7 linked regions of the Ovis aries genome follow. The protein of the gene in region 4 purifies or fractionates together with the protein of the main gene of each other region. This does not show direct contact. Links are inferred from orthologs where the notes say so. Each region holds a gene or a part of one and is shown on either strand. Other genes may lie near its edges. The genes, in order: CDC37, TFRC, SLC39A7, ERBB2, ACSL3, ATP1A1 and LRPPRC.

What was found.
Region 1: the proteins of ERBB2 (region 4) and CDC37 purify together in Homo sapiens (affinity purification with mass spectrometry; 3 studies listed by BioGRID and IntAct, with this or other methods). This does not show direct contact. The link is inferred for Ovis aries from reciprocal best matches to the Homo sapiens genes ERBB2 and CDC37.
Region 2: the proteins of ERBB2 (region 4) and TFRC purify together in Homo sapiens (affinity purification with mass spectrometry; 3 studies listed by BioGRID and IntAct, with this or other methods). This does not show direct contact. The link is inferred for Ovis aries from reciprocal best matches to the Homo sapiens genes ERBB2 and TFRC.
Region 3: the proteins of ERBB2 (region 4) and SLC39A7 purify together in Homo sapiens (affinity purification with mass spectrometry; 3 studies listed by BioGRID and IntAct, with this or other methods). This does not show direct contact. The link is inferred for Ovis aries from reciprocal best matches to the Homo sapiens genes ERBB2 and SLC39A7.
Region 5: the proteins of ERBB2 (region 4) and ACSL3 purify together in Homo sapiens (affinity purification with mass spectrometry; 3 studies listed by BioGRID and IntAct, with this or other methods). This does not show direct contact. The link is inferred for Ovis aries from reciprocal best matches to the Homo sapiens genes ERBB2 and ACSL3.
Region 6: the proteins of ERBB2 (region 4) and ATP1A1 purify together in Homo sapiens (affinity purification with mass spectrometry; 4 studies listed by BioGRID and IntAct, with this or other methods). This does not show direct contact. The link is inferred for Ovis aries from reciprocal best matches to the Homo sapiens genes ERBB2 and ATP1A1.
Region 7: the proteins of ERBB2 (region 4) and LRPPRC purify together in Homo sapiens (affinity purification with mass spectrometry; 3 studies listed by BioGRID and IntAct, with this or other methods). This does not show direct contact. The link is inferred for Ovis aries from reciprocal best matches to the Homo sapiens genes ERBB2 and LRPPRC.

What each region holds. Positions count from the first base shown.
Region 1 is NC_056058.1:12,789,711-12,793,785, forward strand, and holds the start of CDC37 (hsp90 co-chaperone Cdc37), read right to left. Parts: upstream 2,801-4,075; 5' UTR 2,706-2,800; coding exon 2,604-2,705; intron 1-2,603. UniProt on the Homo sapiens protein: Co-chaperone that binds to numerous kinases and promotes their interaction with the Hsp90 complex, resulting in stabilization and promotion of their activity. Inhibits HSP90AA1 ATPase activity.
Region 2 is NC_056054.1:191,487,526-191,491,394, forward strand, and holds the end of TFRC (transferrin receptor protein 1), read right to left. Parts: intron 3,518-3,869; coding exon 3,275-3,517; 3' UTR 501-3,274; downstream 1-500. UniProt on the Homo sapiens protein: Cellular uptake of iron occurs via receptor-mediated endocytosis of ligand-occupied transferrin receptor into specialized endosomes. Endosomal acidification leads to iron release.
Region 3 is NC_056073.1:7,539,829-7,544,094, reverse strand, and holds the start of SLC39A7 (zinc transporter SLC39A7), read right to left. Parts: upstream 2,801-4,266; 5' UTR 2,752-2,800; intron 2,449-2,751; 5' UTR 2,445-2,448; coding exon 2,034-2,444; exon of another isoform or gene 1,945-2,033; coding exon 1,776-1,944; exon of another isoform or gene 1,619-1,775; coding exon 1,565-1,618; exon of another isoform or gene 1,432-1,564; coding exon 1,267-1,431; exon of another isoform or gene 1,116-1,266; coding exon 975-1,115; exon of another isoform or gene 769-974; coding exon 572-768; exon of another isoform or gene 1-571. Other genes in the region: RXRB (retinoic acid receptor RXR-beta), read left to right, coding at 3,216-3,447, 4,108-4,266. UniProt on the Homo sapiens protein: Transports Zn(2+) from the endoplasmic reticulum (ER)/Golgi apparatus to the cytosol, playing an essential role in the regulation of cytosolic zinc levels.
Region 4 is NC_056064.1:39,822,576-39,826,075, reverse strand, and holds part of ERBB2 (receptor tyrosine-protein kinase erbB-2), read right to left. Parts: intron 2,946-3,500; coding exon 2,794-2,945; intron 1,691-2,793; coding exon 1,477-1,690; intron 737-1,476; coding exon 602-736; intron 317-601; coding exon 248-316; intron 82-247; coding exon 1-81. UniProt on the Homo sapiens protein: Protein tyrosine kinase that is part of several cell surface receptor complexes, but that apparently needs a coreceptor for ligand binding. Essential component of a neuregulin-receptor complex, although neuregulins do not interact with it alone.
Region 5 is NC_056055.1:225,030,297-225,034,384, reverse strand, and holds the start of ACSL3 (fatty acid CoA ligase Acsl3), read right to left. Parts: upstream 2,801-4,088; 5' UTR 2,580-2,800; intron 1-2,579. UniProt on the Homo sapiens protein: Acyl-CoA synthetases (ACSL) activates long-chain fatty acids for both synthesis of cellular lipids, and degradation via beta-oxidation.
Region 6 is NC_056054.1:93,737,746-93,741,245, reverse strand, and holds part of ATP1A1 (sodium/potassium-transporting ATPase subunit alpha-1), read right to left. Parts: intron 2,917-3,500; coding exon 2,724-2,916; intron 531-2,723; coding exon 355-530; intron 1-354. UniProt on the Homo sapiens protein: This is the catalytic component of the active enzyme, which catalyzes the hydrolysis of ATP coupled with the exchange of sodium and potassium ions across the plasma membrane.
Region 7 is NC_056056.1:80,399,231-80,402,730, reverse strand, and holds part of LRPPRC (leucine-rich PPR motif-containing protein, mitochondrial), read right to left. Parts: intron 3,184-3,500; coding exon 3,099-3,183; intron 860-3,098; coding exon 717-859; intron 1-716. UniProt on the Homo sapiens protein: May play a role in RNA metabolism in both nuclei and mitochondria. In the nucleus binds to HNRPA1-associated poly(A) mRNAs and is part of nmRNP complexes at late stages of mRNA maturation which are possibly associated with nuclear mRNA export.

The sequences.
Region 1 (4,075 bases), on a different chromosome or scaffold from region 4:
TCGGGGAACTATTAATAGATTCCACATGCTGCAACTAAAGATCCAGCACACTATAACTAAGACCCTGTGCGGTCAAATTAATTAAAAAAAAAAAAAAAAAAAAACCCTCACTGGATCACAGCAAGTCAGTGATATGCAGAAGGAGCAGGATATGAACCCAGTCGGGCAGGCCTGCGCTCACAAGGGTACCAGGCTACCTTTTGGCTAATCCCCTCTTCCACTCTTGGTATTGCTTACTCTTTCCTCCCAGGCGCCGAGCCAAGTTCTTTCAAGATCTAATCTCATTTCATTTTCACGACAGTCTCATGGAGGCGGAGGGCTCGCTCCCCCAAAGCAGTGATGGTCCTGTGGCAGGGCTGGAGCCCAGGCTGCCAGTCACTGGCAGCTGAACCTCGTGCTGGAGACACCAGGCTCCCTGCCTCCACTCATCTCCACGACAGCCCTGGGTCCTCAGCGGTTGGACAGGGAAAGGTTTTGCGCCAGGAGGGAGTAGGGCGTGGTGAGAGGAGGATGCTGTATGAGAGCGGGCATGGCCTCCCAAACCAGCAGGACCAAACCTGGTGATAGAGATCAACTTCGTGACAAGAATAGGTGTTCCCGAGAATGAGCTTTAAAGCTTTGCGGAGAGCTTCAATATTTCATCATAAAATGTCACATATGGCAAGAGAGAAATACTAGAACTTTCTTTTTCCACTCCAGTGGCTTTCCCACCAGGTACACTAGCCAGGTGAAAGGGTTAGTCGCTTAATCGTATCCGACTCTTTGCAACCCCATGGACTGTAGTCCACCAGGCTTCTCTGTCCATGGGATTCTCCCTCCAGGCAAGAATACTGGAGTGGTCACTATTCCCTACTCCAGGAGATATTCCCCACCCAGGGATTGAAGCTGGGTCTCCTGCACCGCAGGCAGATTCTTTACCATCTGAGCCACCAGGGAAGCCCTAGCCAGGAGGCTGCTGCTTTAAGTAATGGGTTGGACCCAGAACTGGGACTAGATGTAGGCACGGATACTGTGTCTCAGCAGGATGAGGAAGGGCGCTTCTAGGTGTTTCTGGATAAACAACTGCAAGCTGATACATGGGAAGACAGAATGAGGTTTTCCTAACTGGAAAGTTCTAGAAGGTATATTCCATAAGTGTGAGAGCAAAGCAGCCCCTGGAATGTGGGTGTAGGAGCTCTGAGTTGGTGGAGCAAGAAGTTAGCACACAAGGTCTCAGGAGAGCCATTCTGTTGGTCTGTGAGCACAGCTGAGCGGCTGCGGGGGTGGGGGGGGGGGTTGCAGGTTGTCGAAAGAACATACAGACTTGGGATTCTGGGGGTCTGTATTTGGGGGAAAATAGATAAAAGAAGGGGCGGTGAATCTGGAATCAGGATGGGTGGGTTCCTTGTAACAGCAGGGTCATTGTGGATGTCTGAGAATAGCACACCAAGTTTGGGTCAGAAGGGAGATGGGATGGATTTGGGTCCTGGACTTGGGTTTGAATGTGGCATTCTGAAGCTGGCAAAGGTTCCCACTGGAAGTCTGTCTTGGGGGTGGGCGGGGACTGGGTGTGAGGTACCAAGGAGGGGCAGGGGTTCTGGCTGGGCAGGAAGCCACGTGGGTAGGGTTTCCTGATGTAATGGGAAATTGGGTCTAACAGTACCAGAGGCTAAAGAAGAGCCTCCGGAATTGGAGGCTCCATCAGGGTGGAGGTGGTGGTTCATTCTGAACAGGACCCAAGTTTCAAAATTCCAGGCCTAGATGAGACTGAGGGCCTTGGGGGGAGGGGGTACCAATCTTTGTTCTAGGGGAGGGGTCCTGGGTGTGGGTTGGAGTCCCAAGCCAGGAACAGAAATCTCAGGGGAAGACAGAATTATTTTATTCAGAGGAGTAAGACTTCTGGATCTGAACCATAAGGATCCAGAAAAGCAGGTCGCAGAACAGACTTAAACTATTGGGAACTCTAGGGTTTTGGAGGACTTCCAGACGGGGCCAGTGGTAAAGAGCCTGCCTGCCAATGCAGGAGACATAAAAGATCCCTGGATCGAGAAGATCCCATGGAAAAGGAAATGCCAACCGACTCCAGTATTCTTGCCTGGAGAATCGCACGGACAGAGAAGCCTGGCGGGCTACAGTCCATGGGGTCACAGAGTTGGACACGACTGAAGCGACTGAGCACAGGGGTTAGGAGGAGCCATGGAACAGCCAAGATCTTAACTGGGTACCCGACTAGGTTCAGGATCCAGATTCTGAGGTAGAAATCTGGGTGTAAATGGAAGATCCCAAGCAGGATTGGGAGGCACGTCAAAAGCTTGTCTTGGCAGTCTAAATTCTAAAAATATACCGTACAGGTCAACCTGGCGTTTCAAGAAGAAACTGGAAGCGCGGGGCGGTGGGGGTGGGGGGGGGGGGGCGGCGCCGGCATCGCGGGCAAGGAACTCAGGGGTCCCGGCAATTCTATGGCCCCGGAATTGAATCGAAGAACCCTAGGCTATTCGGAAAGTCCAGGCTGTAGGGGGCAATCCCAGGTATCAATGGCTGGGGCCCCCCGGCAGTATCAGGGGGTCAGAACTCTGAAGCGGAGTCCCGGGAGTGGGGGAAGGGGCTGGGCGCGCGAGCTCTACCTGGTGCCGCCAGCGGAAGAGGCTAGCGGTGTCGATGTTGGGGTGCGTCTCGTCTTCATCATCAGACACCTCGATGTGGTCCCACACGCTGTAGTCCACCATCTTGCCTCGGGGCCCAGCCCTCCAGGGTTCTGGTAGCGGTGGCGGCGACGGCGGCGGCGGCAGCGGCAGCACTGAGACACAGCCCGCGGAGCCCCGCCCCTTCCGCTTCCGCCCTGACGCTTACACCCCTCCCTCGCGTGACGTCACATCCTTAGTAACCTCAGCAGCGGCACTGGCGACCAAGTTCTTAAAGAGCCCTGCGCACGTGTTCCGGCTCTCGGGAGTCCGCTGAGACCTCACCCCATCCGGCTTCCGGCCTCCACTAGGCCCTTCCTGGGGAATTACGGGTGGGTTCTCCAACCTCGAGCCCCCCTCATCTCCCGCTACCCCACGGTGGGCGTTTACGGCAGCCTTGGGAGAGGGGGCAGTTGGCGAGACTGAAAAAGAGGATTGTCCTCTTAGCCACGCCACAGTGACGTCAGCCTGAGCCCACTACTGGGGCTCGGCCTCGGCGAAAAGACCTCGCTCCCGTCTTTTGTGAAGAGGGACTTAACTTTGTCCTGGAGATGGTGCCTGATGGGAAAGGACCTTCCCAGTACAAGGGGTACAAGGCCCTGCTCTAGGAGGGTCTAAGTGAAGGAAGGTTGTGGCCCTGCCCTCGAGGAGTCGAGATGGGGGCGATGTGGCCCTGCCTTGAGACCTGGTGTTTCCCTGGCTCGGACCACAGCTTCCCCTCTTGCCTCCCCCATCTTCTGCCACTCCTTAGCGGGGATTCGCGCATACACGCCCCCTCTGGAATCACCCGACCGCACTTAACGGGCCTCATTAGCTTGTCTACGGCGGCTCCCCATGCATCCGCTGGGTGTCGCTAGTGTCTAACTAGCGGCCAGTGCGGGTGCCCCGCGCCAGGTGGGGGAGGGGTGGAAGAGCTTGGAAGTGCGCACGCAGGGGGTCTTTCTCCGTCGAGGTACTCTGGGACTCCTCGCAGTCCCTCCCTCTTTCGTCTGGGATCCCCTTCCTCGTTCCAGACTCTAAGAACTCTATTACACTGAGCTTGGGCGACCGCAGCCACACATTTTCATGTATCCCTACCCACGCTTTGATACCGGGATAAAAGGCTGCGTTGCAGCCTAGGGCCAGGATTATCTCAGATTAAAGGGCGCAGGGCGGGGGACAGGGAGAATGGGTAGAGATTCAGCCACTTGAGTGAAGGGCGCCTCTTCCAGACTCCCCCCAACCAAGCAGGCGTTTGGGGGGGCGCTGGAGAGGAAGGAGTAAAGGTCTTTAAATGGGTGGGGTGTGGGGGATTCCCCGGCCCCGGGAAGGGGTGGGGCCATCCGGACAAAAGCGCCCGCCCGCCGCTGCCCCTCCCCCTCACGGTCCATTCAAACCCGCGAGTAGGCGGGCGGGGGCGGGGGAGTCCCCCTTTC
Region 2 (3,869 bases), on a different chromosome or scaffold from region 4:
AGCCAATCTGAAAAAGCTGCATTGAATGAACCGTATGATTCCCTAAGATGTAATGGAAAAACCTGAATGAACTTTTTGGCCAACCCAATACATGCCATTCTGGAAGAGGCAAAACTATGGAAACGCTAAAAATTATCAGTGGTTGCCAGAGGTTACTGGGAAGGGAAGCTGAAGAGGTAGAACAGGATACTAAGGGCAGTAACATTATCCTGTATTGTACTGTAACGGTAAATATATCATTATACATTTGTCCAAACCCATAGAATGTAAACCACCAAGAGTGAATCTTAATGTAAACTATGGACTTTGGAGGATAATGATGTGTCAAGATAGAGTCCCTGATTATAACAAATGTATTTGGTGGGGGTGGGGCACTCTCAGAGTATTGCTAATCAAAGAAACTGGGATGGGGATGGTGTGCAGGCAGGGAGTATATGGGAACTCTGTACTTTCCGCTCAGTTTTACTGGGAACCTAAGTGAAATCTAATAAAACGACAACTCAGTGTTCAAGCATTTTATTAAATCATTTGAGGAATCTCCACATTGTTGCACATACCAGATTGTATACAATTTTAAGGGCATATCACTTGTTCACAAACATACAGCTGAGCAGTAAACTGGCTAATACACTATTTTTAGTAAACTAAAATTTCAACAACATTCCAGAGGATACACAATAAAGGTCATGCAAGTTCTAGAATAGTGAATCATGACAAAGCTCCCTCATTTTATCCTTTTATCTTCAAAATACATGTGACATCTAAAACCGAAAAAATCTGACCAGCTGGTTGGCATTAGTCAGATATCCATTTCTTCCAGGAATATTAAGCCCCTTACCACATAATGACTTGTTTGATTGCAAATAACTTAATCCTAACTACAGAAAAATTTTCTGAAGAAATTTACTGCTGTAAAATGTATACCCGTTATTCATAATATGCCTTGAAGTCACTGAACTTTCATTAAAATGACAAAGCATGATACTCAAACCAGGAATCCCAACTCTGACCTTTTCACTTACACTAAGTATCAGTTCAAGATAAAACACTGGAAGACTGAAACAGACTGAATAGTCAAATCAGTGAGGCTATATTAATCTAGATCTATTTTAATTTACATAAATGACACTAAATTTAAGAATCTTAAGATTACCCTATGAATTTTTTTTTAGGTGACAGTATTGAACTGCCTTAGAACAAACAGCTGATTATCAGGTTTATAATAAAAATGAGTGAGTAGAAAAAAAAGTCCTAACTGATGTGGTCTCAAACTTACTTGTTCATGTCTACGTTTAACTTATAACCACCAAATACTGATGGTTGGGGAGACATGATCAAAGACCTTTTAGCAAACTTTACCTCCCTCAACCCTGCAGTTGCCCCTCCCCCCCAAACTCTGGTACAAGTTTCTACTGCTATAAGCTAAAAGGTTAATTCTGGATTCAAACTTGTGTGAACTACGTTTATAGGAGATAACATGCAAATAAGGGGATAAAGTTAAATTCACCTGGAAACAGCAAACATTATAAATGTATGCTACTATCCTGCCTAACAGAAGGCCTGGAGAGACCACAAATATAACAAAACACATTAGGTTTAAAAACAAAGAACCTTGAAGGAAGTAGTTTTATTTTACAGTGGTTGAAGTTAGCCACCAAATGCTAATGACCACAAAATGTTTCTGCAACTAAAACTAAAAGATAGAGAATTATAGGGAGCTGGGAATACATGTTAGATACTAACGATCTTCAAGCTTTGAAGATGTCATTGCATGAAGAAAATTATGGGAAACACTGTTCCCGATAATTACGTACACCCTTAGTGTAACATATGGAGATCACTGTCTCCGATACAGACACTGTGGTAGGCAAAAACTACCATGTTCTTTATACATTATGGAAGACACTGCTCCCGATAATGTGAGTTAGGTTTGTGAAAAGGTACTGGAAATTTTGCAAAATTCAAATTGAAGTTACATCTTAGAGAAATTGAACTGTAAAATTTTGCATGTATGAATACAACCACAGCTTTTAAGTGACATTAATTTATAACTTGGTCACAATTCACTGCATTTAGTAGAACTGCCAGTTTTATCTGGTTAGCTAAATAGAAGTTTAACTTGATTAGCAACCACTAATTAAATTTAATTCTCAAGACTGAGTTTTATAATTTTATTTGGCTTGCGGTTATTTTTTAACACCCTTAAGTGTTGACCACAAGTGCAAAACTTCCAGTATCTGTTGGGTTTTATTAGCAGATGCTGCTTTTATTAAAAAAAAAAAAACAAAACGACAGTATAACTGTCATAATTATGGAAGGCACTGCTTCCGATAATTATCTTCTATTAAAAAAAAACCCACCATTTATAGTGAACTCTGTCACTGATAAATAAACAATAAATATCTCAGTGCCAAAATGACAGGAAGCTTTTCCAAAAAATTAACACTTTGGCCAAAATTTGGCATTGTGTTCTCTAAAGTCTGATAAATTGAGTTTGAAATTAAACACCTAAAACCTGGTTCTCTTTCAAAATACCTTGGAATAAGTGAAAACAAAAAACTAACAAAGATTTATGGGACAAGGGATAGAGGAAAATAAAATATACTAGGTCTTTGGCTTTCTGGTCTCCTCTTTTCATAGATAATCTTGAGGTTGCCACATTAAGGCCTTACTCCTGTGACAAACAGTTGAACCTCGTTTTATGCAGCTGAAGGCCCTCTATTTCAGACCTCATTGGCAAGAAAACATGTCCCATCTCTTCTGAAAGTGAACTGTTCCACTTTCAGAGGTGGAAACCAGCTAAATCCTTACAGAAGGCAGAGACCCCACGTGGAGAGTAAAGCCTTACAGCCTGGTGTCTGTCTAGCATCAAATGAAGATGGAAGATCACTCTGAGCTACCTTCCTCCTCCAACTCAAAAGATAACCAGCTCACGTCCTTAGGATTTAGACCAACAGTTCACATAACTGGTTCTGACTTTTTCAGAACTATGACAGGAAAGAGGCAGTTACCATTACAAAGCACTAAAAAGTCTAGAGATAATCACAGAAAATATTCTACTGTGAACATTTTAAAAAATTATTCAATTTAACTAGAAATGCAAGTACCTACCCTGTATTAAAAGCTGCTGCCTAAAGACCAACATCTAATAGTACCAAGACTGGGTAGATTTTTAATATTAGTTTTTTAGCCCTACTGAAAATTTAGCATAACCAATATAAGTCTAGAAACCACACTACCCTGATGTTCTCGTATTAAGTTTTGGGTGTCACATTTAAAATTCGTTGTCAATGTCCCAGATGTCTCCAGAGAGGGCATTTGCAGCTCCCTGAATAGTCCAAGTTGCCAGAGCCAACTGGTTTTCCAACAGTGTTTGATTAAAAGCACCATTAAGTTTCTTACGCAGCTTCAAGTGCTCCAGTAAAGCTGACAGAGTGTGAGAGCCAGAGCCCCAGAAGATGTGTCGGAAAGGAAACTCTCTTGGAGACACATAGGGTGAGAGGAGGTGATATTCCACCTACGGAAACAAAACATAGACCTTACACAATGCTACAGCGTTTGCCGTGAGAAAACGACCTGATATAGTAAAACCACCATCATTCTCACTTGCATGTTTAAATTTCCCTGAATTTTAAGAATGTTGAGAACCAAGCTACTAATCTTCTAATGTCAATTCCTTTGTAAACTCTAACTGCACTGGGTTGTTTTTTGTTCCTTTTTTGGTTGGAGCCTCCATACGGAAGTTTCCACTACAATAAAACAGCTAAGGGCTGAATTAAACAGAAATACAGAGAAAATGACAGATGAAAATCATTACTGATCCTTTCTTTAAAATGATTTTAGAGCCTAAAAAAACTAATACTAGGTCA
Region 3 (4,266 bases), on a different chromosome or scaffold from region 4:
TTTTCACTACTAGAGGATCCACTGTCACCAATACAGGCATACCTCAGAGATACTGTGAGTTCAGTCCCAGACCATCACAATAAAGCAAGTCACATGAATTTTTTAGCTTCCCAGTGCATGTAAGTTATATTTACACTATCCTGTAAGTGTGCAGTAGCATTATACCTACAATGTAAGAGCTTAATTAAAAAATACCGATTAAAAAAGGCTAACCATCACCTAAGCCTTCAGCAAGTTGCAATCTTTTTGCTATAGTAACAGCAAAGATCACAGATCAAGGTAACAGTAATGAAAATGCTTGAAATGTTGCAAGAACTACCAAACTGTGACTCAGATGTGAAGTAAACAAACAGTGTTGGAAGAAAGGTATCAAAAGACTTGCTCAACAGAGTGTTGCTACAAATTTGTAAAAAATGCAGTATCTGCTAAGTGCAATACAGAAACACAATAAAACAAAGTATGCCTGTAGTACAATTTGTTTCAAACTCATGAGTGGCAGTCTGGTTTGGGGCTAGGTGAGCAGAGGGTAAAGGGCTTGAGGTAACCATGTTTGGTGTACACCATCACCAACCTGCTTTTTGCTGCAGCCAGACTGGACCAAGATGGCAAAGTCTCCGACTTCATGGGGCACCTCATGTAGCAGAACAGTCATTGTGGTCAGGATCCCCAGCCCCCGGCCCCCTCGAAATGAAGCACCAATGGCTAGACCATCCGTGAAGTTGTGTGCCAGGTCTGCAGCCAAGTTCAGGTACCCTGATACACGTAGGTCTTTTATAGGAGAAAGGGAAGATGAAAGAGTTAGAGGCATTCATCACCCCTAGTCCCAGCCGTGATCAACCATTATCACATCTCCCCGAGAGACCAGTTCATATCCAGCCCTAGTATTTCCCAGACACCTGCCATCACCCACAGCGCTATTTCCAGCAATTCACAACTATGTCTCTGGCCCAAGCCTATGGAACCCTGGCTCTCACCTGACCCTGCTTTCTCCTCTTCAGCGTTCTGAGGTCTCACTGGCCCATCTTTGGGCCTTGTACTCCCCCCTCTCCTCTTCCTCAATGCCCCTGCCTCCTTTTCTTCTTCCTCTGAGCTCTGTTTCTCCTTCGAAGAACGCTCTGTACGTGAAAAAAGGAATTGGTGTAAGCGGAGAACAAAGATCTGCCAATATATCCTCACAAGGCTAGTCTCCTCCCACTTCAGAACCTTCAAATGAGGAGATCCAAAGGTAGGCAATGTGGCTTTCAGAAAAATTGTTCCTGGGCTCACCCTGTCTTCCATGTTCATGACTTTCATGTGTGTGACCATGAGCATGTCCATGTCCGTGACTGTGTCCATGTCCTCCTTTTACATGTCTCACAAATTTCTCCACCACAAGAAAGGCGACAATTCCACTGAGGACCCACAGTCCTACAGAGAGAATGGGGCCCTGGCCTGGGAATAGATGCATTGAGACATTAAGGGAGATGTGGATTCTGGACTCTTCCTCCCCACGCATAGGAGAAGAACAGGAGAGATAGACCTTCTCCAGCACCCCAACCCGTGTCTCCACCCGCCCCTTCCTCACCACTGTGGGAATGTCCATGTCCTGGCTGCTCCAGAGGGTGGTGAGAATGAGGTTCTGGAAGAAGAGGGAGAAAAGGCCAGATGAGGGAACCAAGCAAGGGGTGTGTATTTGCAGGAACACTAGAAGGTGAAGGGTCACAAAGGGGAAAGAACAGTCTTGCCCAAAGACTAAAATTCATTAAGATTTGAGGTAGAAGCTAAAGATCACTTACCCAAAGCATGAGGAATGAGGTGCAGGAAAGCATCTCCCAAGAGCCCACCAGAAGCAAAACTCAGCAAGATCTGGAGCAAAGAGCGGTGGCGAGCGGAGTTTGACTCCACAGGGATAAGAAAGAGGACGAAAAATGGAGCTGCAGAGATCAGCACCGTGGCCCCCAGTGCCTGGTGAGGGAGAGTCAGGGGTTAAGAGGTGTGGGGTTTCCCAACAATACAGCATCAGCCTCCCTCTGCCCCATCCCCAGGGGACTCACATAGGCCCAGAGAGTGACAGTGTCCAGGTCCTGCTTGACGCCTAGAGCCCCAGACTCCCCATAGCCTCCATGACTGTGCTCATGGTCATGTCCGTGTCCTCGGTGGTGGAGGCTCTCATGGGAGTGGCCGTGACTATGGCCATGGTGCAAATCCTCGTGTGCATGTCCGTGGTCGTGAGCGTGGGTATGCCCATGCCAGATGCTCTCGTGAGTGTGGCCGTGGCCATGGGCATGGCTGTGTCCGTGGTGGAAATCCTCATGTGAGTGCCTGTGGCTGTGGCCGTGGAAGTCCTCGTGCAGGTCTTCGTAAAGGTCTCCATGACCCCCGTGTCCGGCCACTAGCAGCCCCAAGGCCGCCCAGGTCAGCAGTCCCACGGCCACCCAGCGGGGGCCCCCCAGGCCTCTGGCCATCACGCTGACCAGAGGGACAGAGACAGTGACTCCACTTGGCCCTCACTTCTACACCCATGAGGGGTCCGCTTTACTCCGTTCGCGCCCACCGTCCACTTCTATGGGCCGCTCCCCCATTCCGTTCTGTCCCCACCCACATTGTTCCCGAGACTCTATCCCGAACCCCTTCCCTGATACAGGGCCCCCGGGACTCCGCTCTAGGCTTCGATCCTCCACTTTATGGACTCTCTGGGCTCTCGTCTCTATGACCCGCAAGGTGAGGAAAAGGGCCTGGAAAGGACAGTAGAGAAAAGCAGGGAATTCTCACCGGCTCCGGGATCCTCTCCTTTCCCGGTTTACTCGGACGTGGCAGTCCCGCCCCTAGCTCCCGCGAGAACTTGGGAGTCCCGTTCTACCTCGGTCCCAGCACCTTTACCAATATGGCCGCACTCCGGGTGGCGGGGATGCGGACCAGCCTTGGCGCGCATGCGCGGACGTGGAGGTTATTTAAGGGGATGCCTGGCGAGACTGGCTAACAGGCTGGAGAAGACCGCCTCCTCCGTTTCCAACTAGACGAGGGGGCGGGAACTAGCGCGAAGACTTCCCGTCTATACCAAGATGGCTGCCACACTGGCGCTGTCATTTTGGTACAGGGCCGGGCGAAGCGCTTAGTTTGACCCGGTTGAAGCCAGAGTCGTTTCCTCTGGGGCTTCCTCGTGCTCGGCTCGTCCCCCCGAGCGGTCCTCGGCAACCCCTGGTGCCGCTCGGCGTCCCTACACTCAGCTGGGAGTCATGTCTTGGGCTGCGCGCCCGCCCTTCCTCCCCCAGCGGCATGCCGCAGGGCAGTGTGGGCCGGTGGGGGTGCGAAAAGAAATGCATTGTGGGGTCGCGTCCCGGTGGCGGCGGCGGCGGCCCTGGCTGGATCCCGCGGCGGCGGCGGCGGCGGCGGCGGCCGGAGGACAGCAGGCCCCGGAGCCGGAGCCGGGGGAGGCTGGACGGGACGGGATGGGCGACAGCGGGCGGGGTGAGTGAGCCCGCAGACGGGCCCGGGCGCCGAGACCCCGACACCGGCGGCCCCTTCCCCCTCCCGGGCGCTCTCCCGGGCGCCCCCGCCCCCTTGTTTGTAAACACGCGTCCCCTCCTCCCGGGGGCCGCAGTGCCCTGCCCCCGGGGCGGGGCGGCCAGGGGGCGCTTCCGCTCTCCCAGCGGCGGCCGCCGGAGGCCCGGCTGCCCCGCTGTCCCCGGCGCAGGGCCCCGGTCCTCGAGCCTGAGGACCCTGGACATTGGGAGGCGAGTTCCGCGCCCTCGGCGGGGTCTCTCTCCCCTGCACGTTCGGGCGGCGAGCTGGGAGTGCAGAGGCTGGCGGGTTCCCCCCACGTGCTGCCCCACCCACACGAGACGCCTCCGGCCTGGGGTGGCCAAATTCACTATTTGGAGCTTGCCTCCCCTCAGCTCTCCTCTTGTTTATCAGCCCCCTCCTCCCACCACGATTAGGGGTTCAGCCCTTGTTTGGCAGTAGGCTGCCTCTGGACTTGGGAACGGGTGGAATGGGGGCGCGGTGGGGAAATCAGAGAGAAAGAATGGAAGTCTCCCGTTGGGCGATCCAAGACTCATTTTCTCTTTTTGTCTCTCCTGTCTCTGTGTGTCTGTGCCTGTGTGTACCCTCCCTCACCACCCCCCCCAGACTCGCGGAGCCCAGACAGTTCCTCCCCAAATCCCCTTCCCCAGGGGGCCGCTCCCCCTTCTCCTCCCGGACCACCCTTACCCCCTTCAGCAGCTGCGTCCCTTGGAGGTTCTGGGGCTCCACCCCCACCCTCGATGCCACCCCCACCACTGGGCTCCC
Region 4 (3,500 bases):
CAGCGCACTGCTCGTGGCAGCAGTCGGTGGGCTGTGGGCCCTTACAGCGGGCACAGCCACTGGCACAGACGGTCCGCGTCACTGTCAAGGCGGGATGAGGGCTGGGCGGCAGTCTAGGCACCAGCCCCTCACCAGCACCACCTTCTGGGGAGACTTCCTGCCCCAGGGAAGAGGCCGAGGGCTGGCACAGCCCCTCCCGTGTCACTCAGCCCCCGCCCTCCAGGCCCTGGGCCGCCCTGTAACTCACAGCTCTGACAGTCCTCAGAACTTTCTCCCCAGCAGTTGGGAGCTTTACAAGCTGGAGAACAGGGTGCGCCTGGAGGAAGAAACAGAGAGGCAGTGAGAGAGACCGAGACCAGGACGTGAAATGCACAGTGAAGGGCAGACCCAGGCAGGAAAAGAGAACCTCAAAGCCAGAGGCATGATCTAGAAGCAGAGAAAAACAGGACAGAGACCCACAGAGATGAAGAGATGCAGAGAAAGGGGAGACGGGTGCTGTTAGTGCGGCAGCAGAGGGGCACAAGGAGTAAGCCAGGAGTCTGGGGTCGCTGGGCTGCGTGAAAAAGGGTGGCGGCTGCAGGCAGGGGGCAGCGAGGCTTACAGGCCCGTGAGCGGTTGGTGTCTATCTGCTTGAGGGGCAGCTGGTTGTTCTTGTGGAAGATATCCTCCCACAAAATCGTGTCCTGGTGGCAGAGCTGGGGGTTCCGCTGGATCAAGACCCCTCCCTTGAGGATCTCTGTGGGGTGGGCAATAATCAGGGGCTTCTTTCCCCATCTGGCATCTTATCTCCCCTGGGGCCTGCCTGCCTTCTAAAAGTGGAGCAGGCCTCTGAAACACACCCCAGGTTCCTCAGGGAGCAGAGAACACCCCTTCAGCATCTTTGAGCCTTGTCAATACCACCCACAAACAAAGATCCAGGGGGGAGTGACTTGCCCATGCCGCCGCCTCCTCTCCTCCACCTCTACTGTGTGCTCACGGCTTAGCAATTAAAAGAGTGTGAAACCCAGCCTCACCACCACTACCTAGCTGTGTGACTTATCCTCCATAAACCTGTTTCCTCATTTGTAAAATGAGAACATTGATGTTTCCCTTGCAGGATTATGGCAGGAGTGATGGGATTATGCATGCAAAGCACCGGGCACTCAGAGTCTGAAACACTGTCTGTTTCAGGGCTGCCACGTACAGTTACACAGGTTGTTCACTGTACATGTGCACTCAGCCAAGACGTGGGCAAAAATCCAGCCTGCATCCTAATCATCAAACTATGCGGGCTGGTGCAAGCTGTGACTTCCTGGGAAGAGGGGAAATCTTTTTGAATCTTCACAAGGGCGCCTTTCCTAGTTCCACCTGCATCCGTCCCCAGGACGCCAGTTCTGACAGGACCCCAGTTCTGACTCACAGTCACCCCTTGGCTAGTAGGGACCCCTGGCCAGCTCTCAGTAACCAGCAGAAAGTTTCAAGGATAAAGATGGTCACCTGTGAGGCTTCGCAGCTGCAGCTCCTGCAGCCCTCCTGAGGCCGTGCCCGCAGCAGGGGCAGCACCTTCCAGAAAGTCTCCATTGTCCAGCACGGCCAGGGCGTAGTGTTCCTCAAAGAGCTGAGTGCCTCGCACGATTCGCAGTCTCTGCAGTGGGACCTGACTCACTCGATTGTGAGCGATGAGCACATAGCCCTGCACCTCCTGGATTTCCTGGAAAAGGGACAGAGGAGGAGAGGGCTGAGGAAGGTCAGGCCCTGGACCACTACCATCCAACCCCCAAGACCTCCTCAAGGTCCCCTGTGCTTGGGGATCTTGGGCAAGGGCCCAGCTGCCAAGCAGTCTGCCCACCACCTCCCCAAACCAGGTTCTAGGACCAAATTCTAGTATGATCAAGAAAGAAAATGAGGGGGTGGGGGCAGCACTCTGTAAACTGTGGGCACCCCACCCTCTCTACACCTCAGCTGTTCCATCTGTAAAGGAAATGCCTGGACGTGATGATGTCTGGGATTCAATGGACTAAGTGTCGCACACCTGGCCCCACGCTGGGACACAACACAGAGGCTGGCTTCCACTCGCTCGCCTGTTCCTGACCCTTTCACATATATTTCCCACATGATATTCTAAATGGGCTCCCCAGGAGGAGTCCAAGTATGCCTATGGCTCCCAATGTAGTATTAGTCACTCAGTCGTGTCCAGTTCTTTGCAACCCCATGGACTGTAGCCCACCAGGCTCCTCTGTCCATGGGATTCTCCAGGCAGGAATACTGGAGTGGGTAGCCAATTCCTTCTCGAAGGGATCTTTCTGACCCAGAGATTGCATCCGGGTTTCCTGTACTGCGGGTGGATTCTTTACCATCTGAGCCACCAGAGAAGCACTCATGGCTCCCAATATACAGACAGGGAAACTGAGATCCAGTGAAGCCAGGGGCTAGACCACATTCACAGGGCTTGTCAATGGCAGAACTGGACTCAGAACCTGCCAGGGCTTTCATTACTCCAGATAGGAGGGGGACAGTGGCTGGGACAGTTGGACAAGGGAAGGTGATTGTGCTGGTGAGAGAGCAAAAAATATAGCCCAGGAATAGATGCATTCCACCCAGAGATGTCCACAGTCAGCCACGCTGTAGACAGAGAGTCAGCTGGTCTTAGTGTAGGACAGATGGGGTGAGACATCAGAAATGACTTCCCGGTTCAGGAGCCACAACGAAAGAGAAAATGTAAGGCGGGGAACCTTCTTCTACCACCCATCTGCAGGCAGAGGGCTCAGCCCAGCAGGAAGCAGGGCCTGGCTGGGTCTTGCCCATGGGCCTCACCTGTAGGAAGGAGAGGCTGGCATCAGCAGGCAGATAGGTGAGCTCCAGGTTACCCTGCACCACCTGACAGCCTTGGTAGAGGTGGCGTAGCATGTCCAGGTGGGTCTCGGGACTGGCTGGCAGCCGCAGCTTCATGTCTGTGCCGGTGCACACTGGCAGAACAGAGAAGATGGGTCAAAAGGCCTGCGCAGTGAGCTTCTCCAACCGGCCACGTGCAACAGCAAAAGAAAGTGTGCAAGTTTGGGAAAAGGAGGGAAATCAGAGAGGAGGTTCCCCCCGCCAACTTGCCCCATCCTGAGCATCCAGAGGGGGTCCCACTGGGCCAGCCTTAGGGAGCTTGCCCATTCAATCCAGGGTGTTGGCTGGCAAAGAAAGCCTTCTTTTGTCCCAAAGGCACGACTCAGGGCCAATGGGTAAAAATCCCCCAAGAGAGGCAATGATGAATCATGAATCCTCTGGATACCCCCTGCCCCTTTCCCGAGCAAACAATGCCACTCACATGCCAACCTCCTGGCAAGGCATACCCACCCCCGCAATGCCACCCAGAAAGTGGGGAAGGAGGGTCAGCTCGAGTCATAGTTGGGGCCTGGGGACCACCAGTGGCCTGGTCACTGCAGGGACTTCTGGGATTTCCCCAGGCAGAGCAAAGGAGTGTCAGATCCCAACTGGGTATCTGGACCCAAGCTGCAGACGCTGAGCCAGAGTGC
Region 5 (4,088 bases), on a different chromosome or scaffold from region 4:
CGCAAAATGCCAGCTGGTATCATGGACTCAATCCTGGAATAGAAAAAAGGGCATTCATGGGAAAATTGGTGATATCTGAACATAGTTTATAATTTAGAGTATAGTATCAATATTAATCTTTTGTTTTGACACATGAACCAAGGTTATGTGACATGCTAATATTAGAGCAGGGGAGCTGGGTTATGGTATAGGGATTATGGTATATAGGAATATTCCCATATCTGCAACTTTTCTATAAATCTAAAATCACGCCCAAATTTAAAAGTTTTCTTTAATAGTACCCAGTCTAATCATCCAAGCACTTGTCACCCACCATTTAAAAAAAAAAAACCCTCCCTAGACTAGATTTCCATCTAAATCACAATAGTCTATATAATACTCATTCACAAATTCCTTCATTATACACATCATAATTTGTAATTATCTATTATTTGTATGATGACCTGTTTCATATTCTTTCCTCTATAAAGGCAAAAATGGCATCAATTATGTTCTCTGCTATATTCCCAGCACCTTACATGTTGCCTAACACAGAACAGGAATTAAAAGCTCTAAGTGAGCAATTAACTAAATAAGGAATTGTTAAACAGGACAGCAGAAGAGCACACAAGCAATGAGAAATGTGCTGGGACTTTGGGGGGCTCTGACTTCCCAAACCAGGCAGGGATTGATTTTCCCGATCCATCCTTCCTTCAAGAAGGACAACTTTAAATCATCCAGTGCACATAGCTCACAAACCCAGTACCTGAGACCCAAGGACACTAGATGACTTGTCACCCCAGCCCCGTACATCCAGTGTATATCTACGTACATCCAGCCCTACACCCAACACTGCCATCTTACTACAGAACCAACTCTTTTTACAGAAAAAGAATGAACTAGGAAAAGACTAAAAGGAAAATGCCAGTGACTGAAGAAGCCTTACTCATTCCTAAGTGTTAAGAACTGCACAAGAACACTCCAGAACACAAAACAACGGTCTATACAGTACACTCCCGTGTCGCCACACTTCTTCCCAGTAATAACCTTCTAACACACAATTTTAGGAGCAACTCAGCACCACCCCTCAACTCCTGAAACAAACCTGGGGAACCAGAAAAGGTTATCATCAAATGACTGCTCTCCTGGCCACTCAAACAAAACTCCACCGTGACAACTATTCAGCCAGCCACCAAAGAGAGGCAGCATAATATAACGCTTGGATAAGAGAGCTCTAGATTTTCAAACAGGCGGGTCTGATTACAGCTTCCCCTCTTACTCGCAGTCATCTGGGGGCAAGTTAATGTGTCCAAACAGCAGTTCTCTCCAGCTATAAAATGGGAATAACTACCACCTTAGAGAGTTGTTAACAGTTTTAGAGATACTATGCAGAAACTCTTCATAGGAAATCTGGAATGTTATAAAGGCTCAGTAAGTGTCAGCTGTTTGTCATCTTATTCCGCTAGTCAATTTCACAAGGCCTATTTCCTCTCAGCTGACAACATTCCAGGTTTCCTACGAAGAGTTTCTGCATAGTATGTTAACAACTCTCTAAGGAAGTGGTTATTCCCATTTTACAGGTGGAGAGAACTGCTGTTTGGACACGTTAACTTGCCCCCAAATCACGGCAAATGAGAAGCTGTGATTTTCTCTGCAATTCCTAGCTGACTCAGTGGTAAAGAATCCCGCTCGCCAATCAGGAGACAGGAGAGACGAGAGTTCGATCCCTCCGTCGCGAAGATACCCTGGAGGAAATGGCACCCCCCTCCAATGTTCTTGCCTGGAGAATCCCGTGGACAGAGGAGCCTGGTGGGCTACAGTCCATGGGGTCGCAGAGAGTCGGATACGACTTAGCGACTAAACAACAAAATACACAATAGCTTAGAGCACATTTTCCAAAGCCAGCCTGGACAAACCAGCTCAATGTTTCTGGGCCTCGGGCTCCCCATCTGTGAAACGGGCTGGATCATTCCTACCCCGCTCGAGTTGCTCGGAATTACCCATTCCATTACCAGTGCATAATTAAAATACACCTAGGGAAAGTAAACCAACTCCCAACCCCAAACGAATAGGATTCATCCCAGGCCCATCGCCTCCGATCGCGGCCAGAACAAATACCAAGGTCGACCCACCTCATACTCCTCAATCTCTCCTCACCGCCCGCAGCAACACACCCCCCGCCCGCCCCTCCAGCATGGGTTTCGGAAACCGCAGGGGTGTTTCCTCCCGAGGACCGCGTCAGAGCCCGGCTAGTGAAAGTGGCCAACCCCCAGCCCACCCCGCCCCCAAAGCGCCGGGAGGGAGCCCCGCGCATCCTTCCTCCCCCGGACAGCTCGGCCTGCGGTCCCCCCCCACCCCGGATTCGCGTGGGCTCTGAGGCCCCGAGCCCCACCTCAGCCGCTTCCCGGATCCCACGGCGGCACCCCTCACCCTCGCCGCGGAGTGGCCCGGTACGCCCGCACCGCCGGGCTAGGCGGCCACGTCGGGGATCCGGGGCCTCCAGGCCGGCCGCATCCTTCCCCCGGGCCAGGGTCGCCCTTGGGGCGCAGCCCTTCCGCACGCGGAGGCCCCACCATGACCACCACGGGAGCCGCACTCACCGCGACGCCGGGGCCCCGGTTCCTCGGGCCCACGCAGGCCTGGGTTGCGCCCCCAAAGCACTAGCGCCCTAGGCCGCCTCCTGGAGACCCTGACGCTGCCGCCGCGGTCGCACTGCGAGGAGACGGCCGTCTGCTACTCGGTCCGCCGCCACCGCCTCGTCCCAGCCCCGGCCGCGGCGACAGGCGCGGACTCGCACACCGGCGCCGGCAGACCAGCGTCTGTTGAGCCGAACCGCCCGGGACGCGCACCCCCGGCCGGCGCTCGTTGCATATGCAGAGAGGCCGCCGCCCATTGGCCCGCGGGCGGTGGCGCGTGCGGGGCTGGGCCTATCGAATTCCGGCCGGGAGCACGGCGGGCGGCCGGGGGCGGGGCGGGGTTACTACGGGTCATTCGCCCGAGCCGCGGCGGACGGGACCTAGCCGCAGCCTGCGCGGGGCGGGGGCCGGTCGGCGGGGAAGGACTGGACCGCGGCGGCGGGGGAGGGGAGCTGGACTGTGCGGCCGGGACGTAGGTGGAGGAGGAGCGGTCCGGCTCGGTCTGCGGGAGGGCCCTTCCCCTAGGGTTGGAAAGACCACCGCCTCGCCCCTCCCAAAAACTACAAGCGCAGATGTTGCTGTAATCTATAAATCTTAATATAGATCTGGAAAAAAGTGCGCCATTATCTTCCCTCTTAACTGGATTATGTGTTTCGTTCTTGCACAGATTTGTCAGATTTTGCAAAATAAAATGATTGGGGGAAATGTCTGAAGCGAGAGGGGCTCAGGAATTCAAAGCAGGTTTTTTATTCTTACTTTGGCTTCACCGAACCCAGCAAATAGCCCATCTCCCCTCGGTGCACTCACTCTATACGCATTGTAGGCAGACGCTTTACCGTCTGAGCTACCAGGAAAGTCATATACAAGATTGGTACTTGTTTTCTAAAGGATAAAGTTGACCCCACAGTACTGTTTCTGAGCTTCTTTTTATGAAGCTGAACGTGTTTCTGTATTTTGAAGAGCTTGCCATTATATTTCACTTTAGATAGTACGAACGGGGAAAAGAGTACAGGTAGACTTGCCTTCCTGCAAGCCAACAAAGCAAAACACAAATGACTAAAATAGCAACTACAATACACTATTAAAAAGATGGCTTTCGTTATGCAAGCTGTAGTGGGGTTGAGCTTTTTTTGTTTTTCTCTTTAATTCAACATATTATTTAGTGGTCTGTGAACGAAGTTGTAACTTTTAAGTCAGACTCGATTCCACAAGAAGTAAAACATTTGGAGGGTTTCATTTTGTTTTGAAGTAATGAAGGAGCTAGAAATAGCTACTTGAATAGTAAACCACCATGCGATGCAAAACTTATATTTAAAGTAGGTGAAAGGTGACGTGCATGAGCCAGCCTTGGGCAAAAGCAGGGGCTCGATTTCCCAAGGGAATCTCAAAATCTGTGAAGCCGCCTGAACTTGAGCTGTCTGGAGTGATGAGGGGAGGAGCAAAGAAAGCTCACGCATCTTGGGCCCCAAGCCA
Region 6 (3,500 bases), on a different chromosome or scaffold from region 4:
CAACTATCTGAAAACACAAGACAGGCATTCACTGCATGATGAGTACTAATTTAGAATAAGGCAAATATTTCAAAATTTAAAACCTTACCAAGTCTTCAGCACTTTTTAATTTGCTCAGTTACATTTCTCTTAAAGGTTTTTTTTTTTTTTTTTTTAACTTTTTGATCCCTCATCTGGGGCTTACACCGACATTTTAATACCATTTGGCTTTCTCCGGGGTAACTAAAAAGCTTTGGAGATGAAAAATCGATCCTCCAGGTGAGAAACACCAGCGATCACATGGACCCTGAGGGGCACTAAGGAGGGTGCCCAGAACTGCTAAGAGGTGATGCCACGGTGGGGTGGGGGCAGTACCTTGATTCCAGCACTTCGGCATTTGCCCACAGCATCTGGGACAGCAGCCCGTGGTGGGTCAATCATGGAGATGAGCCCCACGAAGCAGAGATTATCAACAGGGAAGTTCACATCGTCGGTGTCAAACTGGAAGCCTTCAGGAAACTGCTCATCTGGCAGCATCAAGTGGCAGAAACCTGCAGGAGGGCAGGGAGTCTGTGAGGACTTCCGGTGATAGAGGAAGCTGCAGGATACCAGCTTGTTGTGCAGCAGTTTGTTAGTTTGGAAAGCTTTTTTAAAATTCTACTTTTATAACCAAATGAGTTTCACTGAACATTTATGAATGATACGGAGTCCTTGGAAACCACGCTATACAGACAGAATCCATTACCAAGCCTCAGAGGATGAGGCTCTGTTTAATGTGGAGAAATGGGAGTCTGAGCACCATGGTTTCAGTCCCAAATTGGGAAAGGAGTAGGTCAAGGTTGTATATTGTCAACCTGCTTATTTAACTTATACGCAGAGTACATTGTGAGAAATGCCGGGCTGGATGAAGCACAAACTGGAATTAAGATTGTTGGGAGAAATATCAATAACCTCAGATACACAGATGGCACCGCCCTTATGGCAGAAAGCGAAGAGGAACTAAGGAGCCTCTTGATGAGTGTGAAAGAGGAAAGTGGAAAAGGTGACTTAAAACTCAACATTCAAAAACTAAGATCATGGCATCCAGTCCCACTACTTCATGACAAATAGATGGGGAAACAATGGAAACAGTGACAGACTTTATTTTGGGGGCTCCAAAATCACTGCAGATGGTGACTGCAGCCATGAAATTAAAAGAGCCTTGCTCCTTGGAAGAAAAGCTATGACAAACCTACACAGCATATTAAAAAGCACAGACATTACTTTACTGACAAAGGTCCATATAGTCAAAGCTATGATTTTTCCATCATGCACAGATGTGAGAGCTGGACTATAAAGAAGGCTGAGTGCCAAAGAATTGATGCTTTTGAACTGTGGTGCTGGACAAGACTCTTGAGAGTCCCCTGGACAGCAAGGAGAGCCAACCAGTCCATCTGAAAGGAAATCAGTGCTAAATATTCATTGGAAGAACTGACGCTGAAGCTGAAGCTCCAATACTTTGGCCACCTGATGTGAAGAACTGACTCACTGGAAGAGCCTGATGCTGGGAAAGACTGAAGGCGGGAGGAGAAGGGGACGACAGAGGATGAAATGGTTGGATGGCATGACCGACTCGATGGACAGGAGTTAGAGCAAGCTCCAGGAGTTGGTGATGGGCAGGGAAGCCTAGAGTGCTGCAGTCCATGGGGTCGCAGAGTCAGACATGACTGAGCAATTGAATGGAAGTGAACTGAGACCCGCCCCCTCATTTACTTGGACTTTGGCACATGATGTGATTACTTGTCTCTCCTCTCCTCTCTGGATAAAAAAACCAAGGCCATGGGTCTACTCACTGTTCATCTAACCAAAACATACACTGCTGAGCAGCTGTGTAGAAGAAAGAGGCCAAGCTTCCAGGATAAATGCAGATCAGACACACTCTGCCCAAGGGGTTCATCATCTAGTACTGTTGTTAATACAAGAATTGTGATACTCAAGACATTTCTTTCGATGTTGTGTGGAGGTTACAACGTCCTTTAAAGTTATATCAGGTGCTTTGTGGACTCATAGGAGAGACTGCTTCTACTGTGGGGTGGTGGAGGTGCAGAAACAGAAAAAAAAAAACAAACCCACACTTAAGAATGACCTTTCAGTTGAATAGAGACCTAAGATACCTCAAGTTAGACTGAAGAGCAGGTAAGAACAAGAGTATGGGGACCAGGTAATCAGTTCTATCTAAGTTACTCAACTAAGGAGAACAGAGGAATTACATTCATTTTTTTATCTGTACAAAAGATGACAGATGCTACTTTCCCTATGACACACTGGGTGAACGTGCTTCTTGTCCGCAGTGGCTGACACAGAACAGGTGGCATCTGAGGCTCCAAGTTCACCATTCACCTAATCTGGGAGCTGGTAACACAAGTGCCCAGGTAAATTCACAGCCATTCTGTGGCAGCCGGGAAGCGGCTTTATTCTAGATACCCTAGGAATGAATGAATTTTCATTTCATGAAGCCTACAGATCACGGACATAGCAGCAAAAGCCAGACAACAACTCTCTTCCCCTCCTTTTCTGAGCAAACAGAACTGACCAGCTTGAGACCAAAGGTCTAAGTCAGAATCAGAGGCAAACCGGCAGGATTTTGTTGCCCGGTGTCTGCCGTGTTTATGGTTTTCAAAACAAAGGGGGCAAATAAAGGGAAGTTAACGAGAAGCAGAGGTTAACGCGGTGACTTGCAATTGTTTCCCAGACAGTCAGCGTACCCAGCACACGTTCTCCCAGGCCACCCAGCTCCAGGTAGGCATTCTGAAAGGCGTCCTTCAGCTCCTCGTCCAGGGGCTGCTCCTTGCCATGGATGAGGATGGAGCTGCAGCGATCCAGGATCCTCTCCGGAGCACCTTTCATCACCAGTAGGTGCCGGGGCTCACCTGCATTGGCATTCTTGTGGATGGATAACTGTAAAGAATGGTAAGCATGCAAACGTTAGACAGCTGGGCCTGACAGCCCAGGGAGGGAGTTTTGTTTTGCTTTTTTTTTCCTGTGGCTGTGACATGTGGCTTGTGGGATCTTAGTCCCTGACTAGGGATTGAACCCAGACCCTTGGCAGTGAAAGTACATCCTAACCAGTGGAGCACTAGGTAAGTTCCTAATAATTGTTCTGAAAGATACAAGATCCCTTATTTCTGAATTTAGTGTATTACACCCTGTAGCACACTTTGAATGCTACAAAGGAAATGAGTGTGGCAAGGTGCTCATGCATCCCTGACACATGTTCATGTACACAATTTTCCCAAAGAAAATCCAAACAGGGACTGGCAGACTCATGCGCACCTGCAGCCCTGCCCAGCCCTCTCCCCCATCCCCACACCCACTCCAGCCCACAAAGGAGAACTCCAAAGGGCCTGGACAACACGCTAGAAAGAAGAGGCTCCATTTATCCTACTAATGTTCAAATAAATTAGAATTTTCTACACGGACACAGATGTCAAATTCAAGCACTCATAAAGAGTGTGACTAATTTGTTTTTAGAAAGCATTTAA
Region 7 (3,500 bases), on a different chromosome or scaffold from region 4:
GACGCGACTGAGTGGCAGCAGCAGCAGCAAAGGTTGCCTGAGGCAGGCAGGGGTGTGGGTTGGGGAGGATGAAAGTGGGTAAACCATGGGGAGACAATATACATACATATATATATATAGTTAATAATACTGTACTGCACATTCGACAGCAGCTAAGAGAGCAGATCTTGAAAGTTTTCACACGAAAAAATATTTGACTATGTATGGTGGCCAACATTAACTGGACTTACTGTGATGATCATTCTGCAGTATCTACATAAATCAAATTATTTTGTACACTTGAAATTAATATAATGCTATGTCAATTATACTTCAATTAAAAACCTTAGATAAAGAAATAAAAACCAACTTATTTAAAAATGGAAATGAACAAGTAATTAACAGTGACATAATATGCTTAGTTACTGAAATACAGGCCATTAAATCCTATTTCAAGTTGAAATGAAGAGAGAACTGCCCCAAGGACATTTGATAAATTCATACCTACAGCTGAAGGTCTGAGAGTGACCTTGTATTTTAAACCTAGGTATCAGAGGGCTGTTCTGCAGCAGCCAGACCCATAGCATATCTTTAGTTCCTGAAGCCCTCCCTGGAGGGTCCTTCACAGAGATCTAATCCTCATGTAATTAAGTATTCACCTTATTCTTCACACATTATTATGAAGCATACACAAATCTGTAGAGGTATTTCCCCCCTCTTAATTAAGAAACACTCACAGGAGGTTCAGTGAAAGGGACAGACTCTCCAGCATTCTTCAGCAAAACTGCGTAACGCTTTAGAAACAGATCATTCAATTTTACATTCTTTGCAGTCAAACTTTCATATAGTGCTTTAGCAGATGTGACATCATTGTCGAAGACTAGAAAAAAAGATATTAATCATAGATAAAGTCAACCTCTCTTCTTGTTTTTCCCAAACACTTAGCCATTCATCCATACCTGGATCCCTTCATCCTAAACGAAACCAATACTCAACTACCTTCAACAAAAAAAACCATACCCAGGATCTACAACCCAGTCTTCTTCCCCACACCTCTCACTCAGCATTACCCACTATGAAAGAGAAGGAAAACGGCAACACAGCTATTTAAAAGGCCCATGCTAGTTCAACTGACCAGACAGAAGTCTTCAATCACAGAGTAAGCACACGCCATTCAATCTTCTCTACAAAACCACACTTTGAAATCAGGCTAATTCAGTGACTTTTGTAATGAGGGGCATGTAAAATAAGTAATGTGGAAGTCTGTATCTACATCAAGATCAGCTACTAAGCTGCTAAACACCACCAGAAGACTTTCAATATATTCTCCTATTCTAAAATATGCAAGTGAGGCATATAGTTAGCTAGTGATCCCCCCAAATTTATATACATTACTAATATACATTAAAAAACTACATACATCTGTGTAACAAGCTACACTAATATTTCATGTAATTGGATGACGCAGCAGCCTAGGAGCTAAGTTCAGCTGGCTCTCTACTTGTGGCTGACATGCAAATATTTTTAAGTTCACTGTTGAAATTATACAGGCTCTGCTAAGAATTGTTAGTGATCTGACTCTTTGATCTTGCATTAGATTGTTAACATCTACCCTACATTGATGCTGAATAATTAACCCCAACTCTACCAGCACCAAGGTGAGCCTCCAGGAAGATGTGGGATGTTCAGGGATCAATCAAGGATCTCCCTAAAGGGACTGAGGATGACTGTACACCTCTCACTGAAGCTGAACAGATCTTTAGTTTGGGTGAAGCCAGTTTCCTCTGTGTGAATCCTTTGCTCCCTTCCCTAAGAGACCAAAGGCTTCTCCTTCCACTGCCAAGGGCTCAACCCAAGCTCTACCATCTTCTAGGGAGCTACTCCCAAAACACTCCTATCTTCTCTTTCCTTATTTCCTGATCTCCCTGCTCTTCTCCCTCCCAACTGTCACGCAATTCAGTAGGATAGCCATGCTGTTTTATACTACTTCATCTTACATACTACTAATACCTGCCAATTCTGCAAATGTAACCTTAAGAAAGTTTATGACTATAGCACTATTTCAAAATATATCATATTCCGCTCATAAGGGTAAAAAATGGAGAATTCTGATTGCTAAGTCTGGTGTCCTGCCAACAATCAAATCCACAAAGCAACTCTTTATTTACCCTGTGGCTCAAGTGAACAAATCAGCGGGTGTCAGATGGACAGCTGATCATAACTTACAAATGCTGACATTCATTTTAATTACTGAGGAAACTTTAAACTGGTTCCCTTTCACGTGTGGTCGCCTGGCAACCAGGGAAGAAAACTGCTTAAAAGACTACAATTTCAAAACTGTGACTTCAGGTAAAACCTTGGGGCCCACTTTTTAATGAAGGTGTTTGCTATTTCCAAGAGGAGGTCGGTAGGCCACTGAAGGAGCAAACAGGCAAGTGAAGTCTTAAACATATAGCCATTTTCAGGCGCCAGGCCCTTGGAGGGGCAGGACTGGTTCCCAGAATGTACACCCAAGTGGACTTCTAAGTCTTTCCAGGAAGCTGGATCGTAACTCAACAAAGCAGGGCCCCTCAGAAGATGCTCAGAGGTGGTTTACAGTAACATATAAGAATAATTTCAGATTTTTTTTTTTAAACACGGGGTTTCTTTTTTTTCTTTTTTGGCTGTGCTGGGTCTTTGCTGATGCATGGGCTTTTTTCTAGTTGTGGCGAGCAGAGGCTACTCTCCGGTGGTGGTGCACAAGCTTCTTGTTGCAGCGGCTTCCCATGTTGCAGAGCACGGGCCCTATGGCACACGGGCTTCAGCAGCTGCAGCTCCTGGGCTCTAGAGGGCAGGCCCAACAGTTGTGGCGCATAGGGTTAATCCCCATGGCATGTGGGGATCTTCCAGATCTGGGATCAAACCCATGCCTTCTGCATTGGCTGGCAAATCCTTTACCACTGAGCCACCAGGGAACTCCCTTAAATGTAGTTTTACAACATACCCCAAGGCTAAATAAATTATTTATACCGTAAGCAATTATCTGATATTTAGGATTACTGCTTTTGAGCTGAAGACTTGTTGACTATACTACAAATATTTAAATCACTTAAATAATGCAGTTACGTGAGACTTATTACCATAGCTTTTCATGAGGCAAGTGTATGCTTCTTCCTTGTCAATTAATTCAGGAATCAATTCTAACAAAGACTTCATAACTGGTGCCTAGGAAATTAAATATAGGTAACATCACCACAACTCAAAAGAACAGTGAAATATGACAGATATATGGACATTGTATCATAGAAATTAACAATAATACAGTAGAACTGCCTACTCAATTTAATGGACTATTCCCTTTTGTATCTCTTAGTATAGTCAGCCCCTCTGGAACCTGTGGGTTCCAAGTCTCTGGATTTAACCAACCCTGGACGAAAAATATTCAGGAAAAAAAAATTCTAGAAAGTCCAAAAATGCAAATGTTGAATTTTCTGGGTGCCAGCAAATAGAATTTACACTGTATTAGGTATTGTCAGTAATCT